Drosophila melanogaster: one gene and its partner. The protein of the gene in region 1 interacts with the protein of each later gene in a pairwise test. Each region holds a gene or a part of one and is shown in the gene's direction. Other genes may lie near its edges.

The links.
Region 2: the proteins of Lk6 (region 1) and ana3 interact in a two-hybrid assay, tested with the Drosophila melanogaster proteins (one study listed by BioGRID).

Annotation. Positions count from the first base shown.
Region 1 is NT_033777.3:11,761,412-11,766,128, reverse strand, and holds the start of Lk6 (Lk6 kinase), read left to right. Parts: upstream 1-1,671; 5' UTR 1,672-2,482; coding exon 2,483-2,645; intron 2,646-4,717.
Region 2 is NT_033778.4:12,343,047-12,350,993, forward strand, and holds the start of ana3 (anastral spindle 3), read left to right. Parts: upstream 1-1,936; 5' UTR 1,937-2,039; coding exon 2,040-5,477; intron 5,478-5,536; coding exon 5,537-7,947. UniProt on the Drosophila melanogaster protein: Participes in the structural integrity of both centrioles and basal bodies and in centriole cohesion. Participates in the later stages of centriole assembly through the interaction with Rcd4 leading to the centriole to centrosome conversion.

The DNA of each region.
Region 1 (4,717 bases):
GATCGCAACACAGCCGAACCGACGACGATCGACTTCACAGGCTGCTGGCAAACGGTCCGTGCAACTTTTAGTGCATTTAAATAAATTATAAACACAAAAACAAAAGCAAACACAAAAATGATCGAAGGAGCGTAAGCGAAACATAAGCAGTTCATATTTACAGGAGCTAAATAAGTAATGCGGGGGGTTTGCGGCCAAAGAGAAGTTAAATTGTAGTTAGAGGTGGATGGATTAATACCCTAGGATGGCATTTAGGGCAAGGATCAGACGAAAAGGGCGCGTAGCATTACACCTTTTACATTAAACGACGATACGATGCCGCGCATCCAATTTGAAACTGTACGTATTGAATTTATGTTTAGTGTCTGCAGCATGCGGGGGATGTGAAGGAAGGAAGGAGGGAAGAAAAAGGATCGACGGGCGAAGAGCTAAATACATTTAAGGGTTAGATTTTCTGCGAAAGGACTGAAGTTAAGGCAACGTAGCGTTTAAATGCAAAATTGAATTGAATTGAATTGATGACGAAACCGAGTGTTATGGATAATGGAGCGTGCGCGAATGCGATTGGTGACGAAAATTACTTGTTTTAAGGCTGGACTTATGTAATTTCGAGCAAAAACGATAGTAGCGAAACAAAAACATGTAAAATGCAGATATAATATTTTTATAATTAAAACAAAGGTACCCCCACCCCACTACCCTTATCTTAATATGTTTAATTCAACTGCAATTATCGTTAAAGACGTATTTACTGTTTGTGATCCAAATTCATTGATTAAACGTAAACTACACAAAGATACAATTGTTGCATGGGCAAGGTTTGAAGTCCGGGTTCGCAAAGTACCCACAAGTACTCGATCCCCGGGTCTCAAAGACGAGGAAATCACGAGTCAATAAGCCAGGTTTAAAACTTGCAGGTGCGTCGTCAATGGCTCGCAATATTTTCCGGTCGGGCCAAATCCGAAAATGGCCTGCCCGAAAATTATACACACCTTACAGGACCGAGTGTTAAGAGTACTTTTGGACTCTCTGCGAACCCATAGAAATAGAGCAGGAACAGTAAATTGTACTTAATTGAAAAATGATATAATAAAACACCGCCACTTTGAAATATATTTACTTGAATCAAATAATATTAATGAGTATATATAACTTTGTACTTGAATAATATTTTATTTATATTTACCTTAAGTCAATAAAAATTCTAATAAATTATAATCACCCAAAAATGCATTTTGTTCAAATGTCGAGGGGAGTTCTTTTCAACTGCTGATTGGAAAATTGATGCCTTTTATTATTGATATTTGCGAATACTGATTGACAAGCTGCGAACCTTGAGTAAACGTATTCTTCCCAAAAATAAAATATAAAATAAATAAAGAAGGCTAATAAGTTTCATAGTGGGGTGTAAATTAAACAATTCAAAAGAACCGCCCAACTGTGGTTTATAAGCTTGGCGCACTACGCCAAGTAAAATACATGTAGAAAACGTGACGGCGTTGCCACTCTTATTGTATTTAGCTAGTTTAACCACCAAATAAACAGCGAAGTTCTCAACCATATGTGAGTTGCGTAGCCATACTACATTTGAAGCAAAAAACCCTAGTGTCGCTGCCGTCTTGTGGTATTTTCGTTGGCCCGAAAAACGGTCCTACCAAAATGGTACCTCCGGCCACACGGATGAATTCGTCGTCATTCGTCGGAATCATTCGAACTTTGAAAATGGATCGGTAGCTGGGAAGGAAACTTAAAGCGAAATACGCAAAGAAAACGGCTTTTGTCCGCTATTCAGCGATTTTTTTTGTGTTGTAATCAGCAGAGGAAATTTTAACGACCAACTCCACCGCCACACCAGCCATCTCCAGCAGCTCCGGAAAATAAAATAGAACTAAATTAACGCCTCCATCACTACAACAACCATCTCACCAACAACTACAAGAGCAACAACCACAGCAACAGCACTACTGCACCAAGCCCACAAAGAAGAGGTGAAACGCAAAAATCGCAATACCCGAAGAAAAAAACAAAAAATATCGCAGATAACCGAAAAAAGCGGTGCAAATAGATAAACCCCATTTTTTGCTTGAGCTTTTTTCGCCTGTGTGATGAGAGAAATCAGCAGCAGCCATCGATTACAACAACAACAGCAGCCACACCAACGACGACTCAACCACCAAACCAAGAATAAATAAACAGCGGAGAGCGATAGATAGAGAGAGAGAGAGAGAGGAGCATCTGCAGCAGAATTGAATCAGTTTTTTCATCAACCGCCGCATTGTATTAAAAACACAAAAATCCCATAGGCGGCCACCATTTTGATTTTGAATGAACTGAACGAGAAGAGAGGAAAGAGCACGAGAGACTGAGAAAAACTGCTGCTCATTTGTTGCACCGTAAACCCTTTTTCCAGCTTGTAAGCACTCTGCCTGTCTCACTCTAATCGCGTCCAGGAGCACCGTACAGTAACAACAACAGCAACAACATGGTGGAGCCCAAGTCCGGGACAGCTGCTTCTGCCGCTGCTGCGAAAGCAAGCAACAACAATAACAACAACCACCCCCGTGGATCTGGGGACAGCGGCATCCGGAGTGGCAGCGGCATTTCCTGCAGCAACACGGACAACAGCTGCAGCCAGAGTCAGTCAGGTGAGCAATTTGAGTTTCTAGAACTCTGGGAGTTTGACACTAAATTCCCATAGCTGAGAAGCAAACTGTGATGCATGAGATATATTTTGGAAACCTTCTGAAGAGATTTCGCATATTTGCGCTTCGTGTGTCACCAGTTTAATTTTAACTAGACAACATGTTAACAGAATGATGAAATAATTGCAAATATTTGCTCTGACTGTGAATTTGGCAGCTCTTTCGTATAAATTTGAACTTCTACCTATTGGAAATTCACCTGTATCTCTGTCGTAATATTGTTGTATTGCCTAAATATAAAGTATATTTCGTAGGCAACAGTTATTTGCATGCCAAAAGAAAACAAAAGCCTTATTTAAGCATATAATTATTATTTTGAGAATGTGACAAACGTTCTTTGCTTCTTAAAGTTGTACCTATAAAATACGATTTGTAGGATATTTCTGCTAAAATGCAATGGTAAAAAAAAGATATACGTTAATGTAATATTTTGTATCGGAAGTTATACTTCCTCTAAAGTTCCTAACCATATGTATGTATTATTCTGCTTGTCATTGGGTGGGGACTGACTACCAATCAGAGAAAAGACCCGACCATTGCTCCTACGCTTTCATTCAGTGGATTTCTAGTCAGTTATCGGCAAAGCTGGGCCAGGCAGCACTTTCGTTTCGTTTACCCTTGCTAATCAATCGAACGAACTAGGGAGCATTGACTGACTGGGCCACGTTGCGCACCGGGTGCCGCAGTGTATTTCCTTGACGTCACACGATGTTCGAGAACATGCATGCTGTCTGCCTGCCGGCGCCCAACCCCACCACCCACTCCGCTTCCCTTCACCCACCCCGCACAGTCTGTGTGGTGTTTACAGTTGTTTTGTTTCGCCAAGAGAACCCCATTGCATCATTCGACTGGGGCCATTAAGCTGAATATAAGTGTGTATGTGCCCTAATTTTAGGGGTATTCCAGCATCTGGACTTTATAACCATCACTGGGGGTGTTATTATTGTACACAAGTTCTTAATTATATGTGGGATTTGATATATGCTATAAAATAACAATGACAAAGATCAACTAAATCCACTAATTAGTCATATTCTAACTGGAGGTTAAACTAGAAGTTTGTTGTTTTCGTTTAGATAGTGATTATAGTCCATACTTTGTGTTTATCAAAGATAATCTTATGAAACAGGACAGATTGTTGTGTAAATATGCTAGATACGGTTGGGTTGGACCACTGACATCCACTAATTCCACTAATATCCTATAAAATCGGGCATAAGTGAGCTGCTTTGAAAAATCATGAAATCCATATGGGTAAACTGCTGTACAATAGGAATATATTCACACATACATATGTAGATTTCAGCACCAATAGTTACCCTTTGTAATTAGACCAGTTGACTGGTATAAATTCGCATAATATGATTATCAATTTAAGCAATACTAGATTCCAAGCACAAAAGGGTATTCCTTTTCCCTGCCATTCCACCAACACCACCAAAGCTGCCGGCGAAGTGAGAGAGACGGCACTAGTATCTGTGCCAGCTAGCCGAGACCGAGAAATTGAAATTGAGCGTGTGCAGGCAGTTATGGAAATGGAAAATGACTCATGATGGCTGATCGATTGAGCGTAATGCACTGACACTCGTGTTCAAATGCGTATTCGTGCCCAAAATGCAGCGAACGCGGCGAAATGTGAACAAACTACGATTATAACCTTCATGACGTTTATTGCACTTGGTGTGACGTTCGTTGCTTGGCCTCCCACACATATAAAATGTGTGCGCCCATTAGGAGTTGTGCTGGAGTGGATTTTGCAGCTGCAATCAACTGAGTGCAAAACGCTGTCAATTGGAGCCCACCAGCTGGAAACTTGTTTTCCCCCCAACGATCCATAATAATTTTCCATAATTATCGAGAAGTTTTTCATTCTATCGAGGCCTATCGATAGGAGGACATCTAGTGGTGCCTACGTGCAGCCTCCTCCGATTCATGAAATCAGCCCAATATATCTCTGTCTCCCTTGCTCGTTTGCGCAAAAGCCCTGAGAGAGAAATTTATTTTTTAGCTGTGGC
Region 2 (7,947 bases), on another chromosome or scaffold:
AATTGAAATAGTCGGTTTTGAGCAATCCGAAAAGTGCTTCGTGAATGATTAGTGGAACTCAAAGTTCCCACTTCCTATCGCAATGTGCTTATCTACATATTAATAATAAGAATAATATGTTGTTACGATTTGATTATTCTATTAAGAATGCCTTTCAACATATCGCAGTCTGCTAATTGAACTGCCAGACATTCGAATTTTGAATGCAGTGAGTGCATTATAATCAAGTTCGCACTTTCAAATTGCGGTTGGGGTGAATATTCACGGGGGGGGTGGTGACAATTTGTCTGCCCGTGATTTTGAATAACAAACGAATAAAATGGGTAAAATTGCCAAGAGCATGCTATATGAAGTTCAAAGCACTCTGTATAATGAATGGCAATTATTTTAAATTGGTTTGTAAGCCAGAAATGTTCAGTAGAGCCGGGTTTTTCGTATTTTAAAGTTACAAATAGAAATTCACACTTTAATAGCTCAAAGTCTCATGAGGCCGGTTCCTAGAACTCACTCATAATATTTAATGGAATATCTTTTATAAGCCATTCAAAGTTTGATACTAATGGGTTGCAGTGACACAAATCAAATGGCAAACATTTTCCTGGTGCAATATAAATCTTTTTTGCTTCAGTCGGTCGAAGTTCAATGGGTGGAGATGCGGGACGATAATGGTCCAATAATCGGGCACTTAAGTGGCCAATCCGATAAGATTAGCCATAAATAATAATGAACTTGTTGCTTAGCTCCCCTTTTTGGCTCAGTGTCCAAAATATTCAATTGTAAATTACTCGAGCGACATCCAATCGGAATGTCAATCGCAGTTGCATGCCATTTCTAATTAGAAAAGAGTAGACGGGCCATTGATTTCCAACTGGATGGTGAGATATACATATGTACATATATGTACGCAAAAGGTGGAAAAGCGAAGGTTGCGACCGGCGAAATGGTTTCTGGGGTGTGGTAGGGGCGGCATCGGGGCGAGGGAGTTACCCGGGCGTGCGCCAGTGACATCATTTCGCTATTTCCATTTTCATTTCCAGCATATGCTTTGTTTGCACTACGAATTCATCAAGTGTCATTTGGCACTATGTGCGTACACTGTGCACATGTATGTGTGAGTAAAGTTTGTTTGCCTCAAAAATAAAGCAAACAAAAACATAAACTTAAAACAACACAATCCAACCGATGACGTCACGAGGGAGCCTTTTTATTGTTCAAAATGGAACAATGAATGGGTCACAAGGATAAGAATGATCAGAAATAGCACTTTGTTGAAGTTTAAATTGCAAATAACCGGTTGGCGAACAATGATTAGCGGTTACAAAGCGTTTGGCTGTATTCACAATCGCACAGCTACACTTTAGAGCGGCACGTAAACAAAACGATATGAAACCCAAGATAAGCATTTATACACACACACACACAGAGAGAAAAGTCTAGTTCTCCACCGCAGCGGCAAACAAACTCTATTATTTACCCGCTAAGCACAAACTCAAGTCCAATCAGATGGGCGACTTTTTTTTAAACCTACAGCGCTAGCGTGACCGTGCTTGCCATGCTGGGAAATAACAAACTCGGTTGCGACCAAATTATCGATAGACAAATATGGCAATTTAATACGCGTAGTTTAGTTTTGGTGAAATAAGGCAAATATCAGAGGCATAATTTATAAGATTATTAAGTAAAACCATATAAATAATATAAAAATAAAACAATTAGATGAATAAAAGTTCTTCAACAAAAAAGGGATTAGGTTCAAGTAATTGTTTATTATGTGTGAAAAGCACCTAATTCTTAGGGAGCAATAAAAGATTGATGCGGAATATTGTTCGTTGTTGCTGATGCGAGGTGTCAGGTGGAGAAATACTATTTTAATAGGTTTAGTATTTTTAGACCCTTATGCAGGGAACGCACACTCAAGCAGAGTGGCAACGCCAGCCAAAATTCGAGTTTGACGCTTTCAAAAATGACATCCTAAAACGTTTGCTGCCTGGAAGAGAAGTGAAAACGAACTAAAAGTCGGGTATTATTAGTCTAAGGAAATGAGTACCAAACAGAGCCCGGCCCTCCAGCTGGCGGAGGGGCAGCTAACCAAGCTGACTAGCGAATCGGAAGAGATCCGTATGCGCGCGCTCGACCAGATTGAGACGAGATTCATCAGGTGCCTGCAACTGGGCGAGCCGATACAGTTCAAGCCGGTCCTGCTGCTGAAGCAGCTCATCCGCTGGTTCGGGTACACACCGCCGCTGGTGCCCGACCGTGTGCTGGCCATGATTATGGAACTCCTTCGATCCGAGTACGCCGAGGCGGTGATTCGCAAGATTCCTTACGAACGCTTCAAGGCCGAGCTGCAGAAGGTTCGCCGTGTGCTACACAAGCAGGAGTCCAAGCGGGTCAGCGAATTGCTGGATGATATGAATTTGCTGCTTCTCGAGAAGTACAACATAGACCGGGTGACGCCGAGCGTCTCCAGCCTTAGTTCAAATGACATTCCCAGTCAGGCAACTGAATCCGCAGACAGCAGTTCGAATCAGATTTACGACAATCTGAAACCGGAAGATTACGAGCCCTCCTGGTCGCATCCGTGCTTGGACGATGTGGCCACCATGAAGAGCATGATTGATTTGCCACGAAATAGCGTTGAGTTGCAGTTGCAGCTCACCGAACTGATCATCCGTATGGGCGACTACCCAACTGAGTACTTTCTGCAGCCACCGTTCGTATTCTTGCATCTGGTTCAGTTGCAAACGATGACTGACGGTAGCCTGATACATGTGAACCGGGCACTAATTGCCTGCCTGCGGCTGCTGCAGCAGCGCATCTTGTTGCGCCGAAACACTCTGAGCTACGCGGACAGGTTCGATCCTCCGTCACGCCCCAAGCAAGTGAAGGTGGTGAGCGCCTTGGTAATTCTGCTGGAAAATTGCATGAAGCTGATTCGTCCGTTGCTGTTCAGCTGCACAAACGACAACTGGCACATAATGGAGCTGATCGTGGAAATAGTGCGGACCCACGATGTTCTCAGCTCAAAAATTCCCTTAGTGAGCATTACGCTCATCGCGGACGCGGTCAAAAGTCTGCTGGCGTATTGTAACAGTGTAGAAGGCAGTTGCATGACCCAGCTGATGGACTCGCTCAGGATTCCCCGCCTGCAATCGCTGATCCTTAACGGCGTGCTGCACGATATGGTGGCCTTAAATATAAACTATGACAAACGCATGGACCGACGCCAAGCCAAAGCACTCATCCAACCTATAGTTTTGGACAGCGCTTACCTGTCTGGCATGCCCGAGCGCATGAAGTCGCTAAACACTCTAATATCGTCTTTGGATTCTGGACCATCACCGGACGAGGAGTTGATCAAGCTGAAGCGGGCCTACAGCGTGGCCCTAAATCAATTACATCCGAATACGGAACTGACTGGGTCGCTGCTAATCCAGAAGTACAGACAAGTGTGCCTTGTGCTCGTCCAACTGGGCAGTGAGACATTGGTAAAGCAGCTCTTCGGAGCTGTTGTAAAATGCATTCCATTCTACGCGGGCAATTTAAAGCTAAGAAAGGATGCGGATGAGCTGCTTTACACCCTTGTTGATTTGCCTGCTCTCAAACTTCGTTCACTTATATATCGTTTAATGATCAAATCCACCGTGGCCCACTTTCATTCCTTTATGAACAAGACAGTCTATATGACCGGCTGCAGCAATGTGGATCTGATTCGTCAGCATATCTTAGGCGTGCCGCTAACTCCCCTGCTGTTACGCAGAATGATAATTCAGAGTTCGGAAGCAAATACTTCGGAACGTATGCAGCAGTGGTGCCTCGACTATCCTATAATGATTATGAAGCTAAACGCTATTCTAGCTCCGCAGGATTTCAGCGTTGTTTTCCCGTTGCTACTCCCCGTGCTGCCTCTGCTGATCAGCAGGTCGGTTACACACAAGATATTGCACAACGTCATATGGAACGTTTTAGAGCCGGACTCCAGCCGTTTGGATCCGCAATTGATGCTGCGCGGGTACGTTTACTTCATGTTCCATCCGGATGGCGAGGTTAGGAGCGAGGCCACCACTACAATTGCTTACGTGCTGCAATGTCAGGAGCAAACGAATAGATATTTGCCCACCGCAAGCAACGTACCGGTTGAGCACATCGCCAACGATCTCTGCATAATTCAACCACCATTCTGTTATAGAAGCATTTTCATCAAATGCTCTGATGAGCGGTTTCAAGGTCAGCGCAGCTTGGACGCCCTGTTCCGATTACTCCAGGCCAAGGACATAAAGTCGAATATCCGAAAGTCAACAATGACTCAATTAAATGTCTTGCTACGAAACTGGAGAGCTTGTGAGGAATTCTCCACAAAGGAGGATGGATATCGACTGATTATGGAGTCTCTGCACAACGCTCTGAAAAAGGGGAACGACACTGATATTCTGCTGCCCACTGTGAGTATCCTGATGAAGCTTCTGTTCAATGACGATGAGTTTCGATTAGAAGTCGCGAACACATTCGGGGTGTACACTTTACTGCTGAGGGCTTTATTCTTGTTCCCCCACTTGGAACAGTTGCGCCAGGATGTCAGTATATGCCTGTTCCAAATGCTGTTCCAGAATTGTATCACCTCCACTGAAGACAAACTGGTACTGAATGCGAATATGGAACCCCTGATTTTGCCTGTAACCTATGAAATTGAACATAAAGTTATACCCACTGCCGTTACGGAAGGATTGGAGCTGCAACAAAATGTGGAGGCGACCCATTTCGGGCGAGATAGGGCAAAAGCTGCACAGCATTGGCGACTGTATATGGCCTATCGCGTTTGCCAGGTTCCATCCAGCATTACTTTGGAGTCTGTGAGCGCTTTGGATATAAGGGAGTCTCTTAAGATCAAAATGGCCGATTTGGCGTTAGTAAGATCCTCCGACTTAAATGAGCAGCTAAGTTGTCAGTTTATCGCAGCGGAGAATTGCAGCAAACACGAGGATCTGCAAAAAACTGTGTCGGCCATTCAGCTATTTCTCGTGGTTCTGCGAAACTCATTAAGTGATACGGTGGCTGAGAACTTGTGGAAATTAATCCATAAGTACATCCGCTTAGCGCCGGGGAACGAAGCGGATGACAAGGTGTACAAGTCCATGCTGGATCTGTGCGTAACATGCATTCGCTTCAGCCAGCCACATGCTATCAACGGACTGAGCTACGCTCTGGAAACGGATCATCATCACAGCTTCCAATTACTCCTGCACGATAGCCAAATTTCTCTGGATAAGCTATTCCTGATTTGCCAGTGCATGATGCAGCTTTTGTCCAACGAGCTCAGTGATGATTCGATGAACTGGTATGGCAAGTTCTTTATGCAATTGAGTGCCGTGGCCAAGACGCACTTTGAATTGCGCCAGCTGCAGCACGTTCGCTGCATACTTTGCATGCTGCGCTTTGTAAGCGAGCGAAATCTGAAATTTAGTAATGCTCAGTTGATGGTGAGTAAAGGATCATCGTCATTAGATATTGATTTCTTACCTTGAATTTTTGTCCGCAGAGCTACTCTCAGCATTTTATCCAATTGTCCAGCAATTTACGTACCTCAACTCAAACCGGATCCGAGTGGCAGCGGGACTGCTTGTACATAATCTGTCAGCTCCAGATCCATCTAATATATCAGGAGCCAAAGGCGTCCAGCAAGGCCAGTATCCCAAACGATGTCGGAGCTTCATATAAGGTCTTGCGCTATTTCTTAACACTTTGCGGGCACGGTGACAGTGAAGTGCGTGCATTGTCCTGGGTATCGTTGGCCAATTGGATAACCATCTGTGGCTCGCAGGTAGCAGAAATTCTGCCTCGCCTGGATTTTCTACCCGGCGGACTGCCGGCTTGCTGTTTAACCACTCTGACGGATGCCCACGAAATGATGCTGATCAGGGAGTTGGCCGGACGAGTATTTATCCTTCTGATGCCGCTCATTGGTGCCGAAAGTAGCTTGGAATTGTTGCGGAAACATGACTTACTAAAGACCGCCTACAATTCGCTGAAAGCAATTCACGACACTCCCTGGATGTTCAAGAAGATAGTTGGTGAGCGGCATTCGTGTGAAGTAATTAGCTGCTATGTTGCCATATGCACCAAAATGGTGGCCATGAAGCCAGAGTGGTGTGCCGCGCTCTGCGGCCACAGTTTGATGAGTGGTCTCAGCGATGTGATGAAAAAACTCAAGTCGCAGGCGTCCTGTTCGATTCCGCTTGTGGAACTGTGTGCATCCCAAATTTGTGAATTGTACTCGATGTGCTACACTAATAACTTTGAGTTCCTTAAGATGACGATTTGTCGAGATTCTGTATTCTTGCAGAATTATTTAACGCTGATCAACGATGTTTTGAGTTTGGAATGTCCCGAGTACATGGTGATTCCCCTATTAAAGATGTTTCTCATATTCTGCACGGACTCGAATTCGAACTCATTTCTCATCGAACAGATAAAGAATAAGCCATCTCTATTCATGGATTTCTTCCTGTTTGGATTGCATGTGAAGCTTATTAATTCGCCATTTCAGCGCTTTACTCTGTCAGCATTATCACTTGTGTTCACCAAAGCTCAACTTGCTGCGTATGATATAAGCATGCTAAGTGAGTTGGAGAAGTTCGAATTAGCATTCAGTGATCCTGATATTGCTAAAGATGGCAAACAAGAATTCGAGTCAAAAAAGAAGCAATCTGTATCGCAATGCATCTACGATGAATCCTCGGATAATTCGGATGACAATAAGCAAAGGCCAAACCATGCGATCCAGGCCACTAATGCGGCTATTATAATTTTCCATCGCTTGGATCAGCTCTTTGACCGTTACTATCTATCGAAGGCCTTAAACTTTTTGGAACTTCCTGCAGTGGGCCAGGTGCAGGTTTGTGAAGCACTCGGCGAACTGCTTAAGGCATCAACCTGGGCCGTGAAAGCAGCCGGAGAATCGAAGCTGCTTGGCAAGGTAGTTCACATTCTGGACGATTTTCTCAATGACGAAAAAATCGGAAACGCCGCCGTCTATGTGAAGCGAGTGGGACCTCACAAGGCGCAAAGTATCATAAGCAATCTCTTGGTACTGATTAACATGCTATCCCAATGGCATAGTTCTCCCAATTCTGAGATCATCCAGACCAGTATGGCTGCGAATATCGCCAAAATCCTCATCCGCATTTGGCCTTGGTTATCGCACTCGTATCACTTAAAAAAGGTTACTGTCCAGCTGATTATGTTCCTTACGGAGCATTCATTCGAAATGTGTAAACAGATATCCCTGCTTCAGTCGGGACATGCCCAATCCCTGCTACACCTAATGGCTCGCGTCGCTGACTTCGAGACCACCAAGAAGGAGATTCCAAACAAAGAGCCATCTCTGAATATGGTGCCCGCACTAAGGGTTATGGTAAACTGCTGTTGCTGCACCGAGGGTCGGCTGAGTTTGTCCAAAATGAATTTGCTGGATATGTTTGACACAATCCTTCCTGCTAATCCGTGCTCAACACATCTTAAAGTGCGACCACCTGTACTGATTGCATGGCTCGGATTCTGGGAGGTATTTTCCCGGTACGACGTAGGAGGAAAGGCTTGCCATCTTCAATCTCTTATAAACACGATTCGGCGTAGTCCTCCATTGAGTCACAAGCGGATCCTGTGCCTTCGAATACTCCGCAACATGTGCTTCTTCAATGGTAATCGCCCCCGGCTCGTGGAGCTGGCTGACTTTATTAACCTGCTGCGTGATATTTTGGAGCAGAGGGTCCAAAAAGCACCCACATCCGAGAAAAACGGGCTGAACTCCTTCGAGGAGCACCGCCTGGCTGTCCTCATGTTGTGGAAACTCTTCGGTTTCGGTGCCAAATATAAGGGCATGCTGCGGGGCACCAAGCTCTTTAAACTGCTGATTGGCCTTCGGGTGGAGATGTCGGTGGTCTTCTCGGA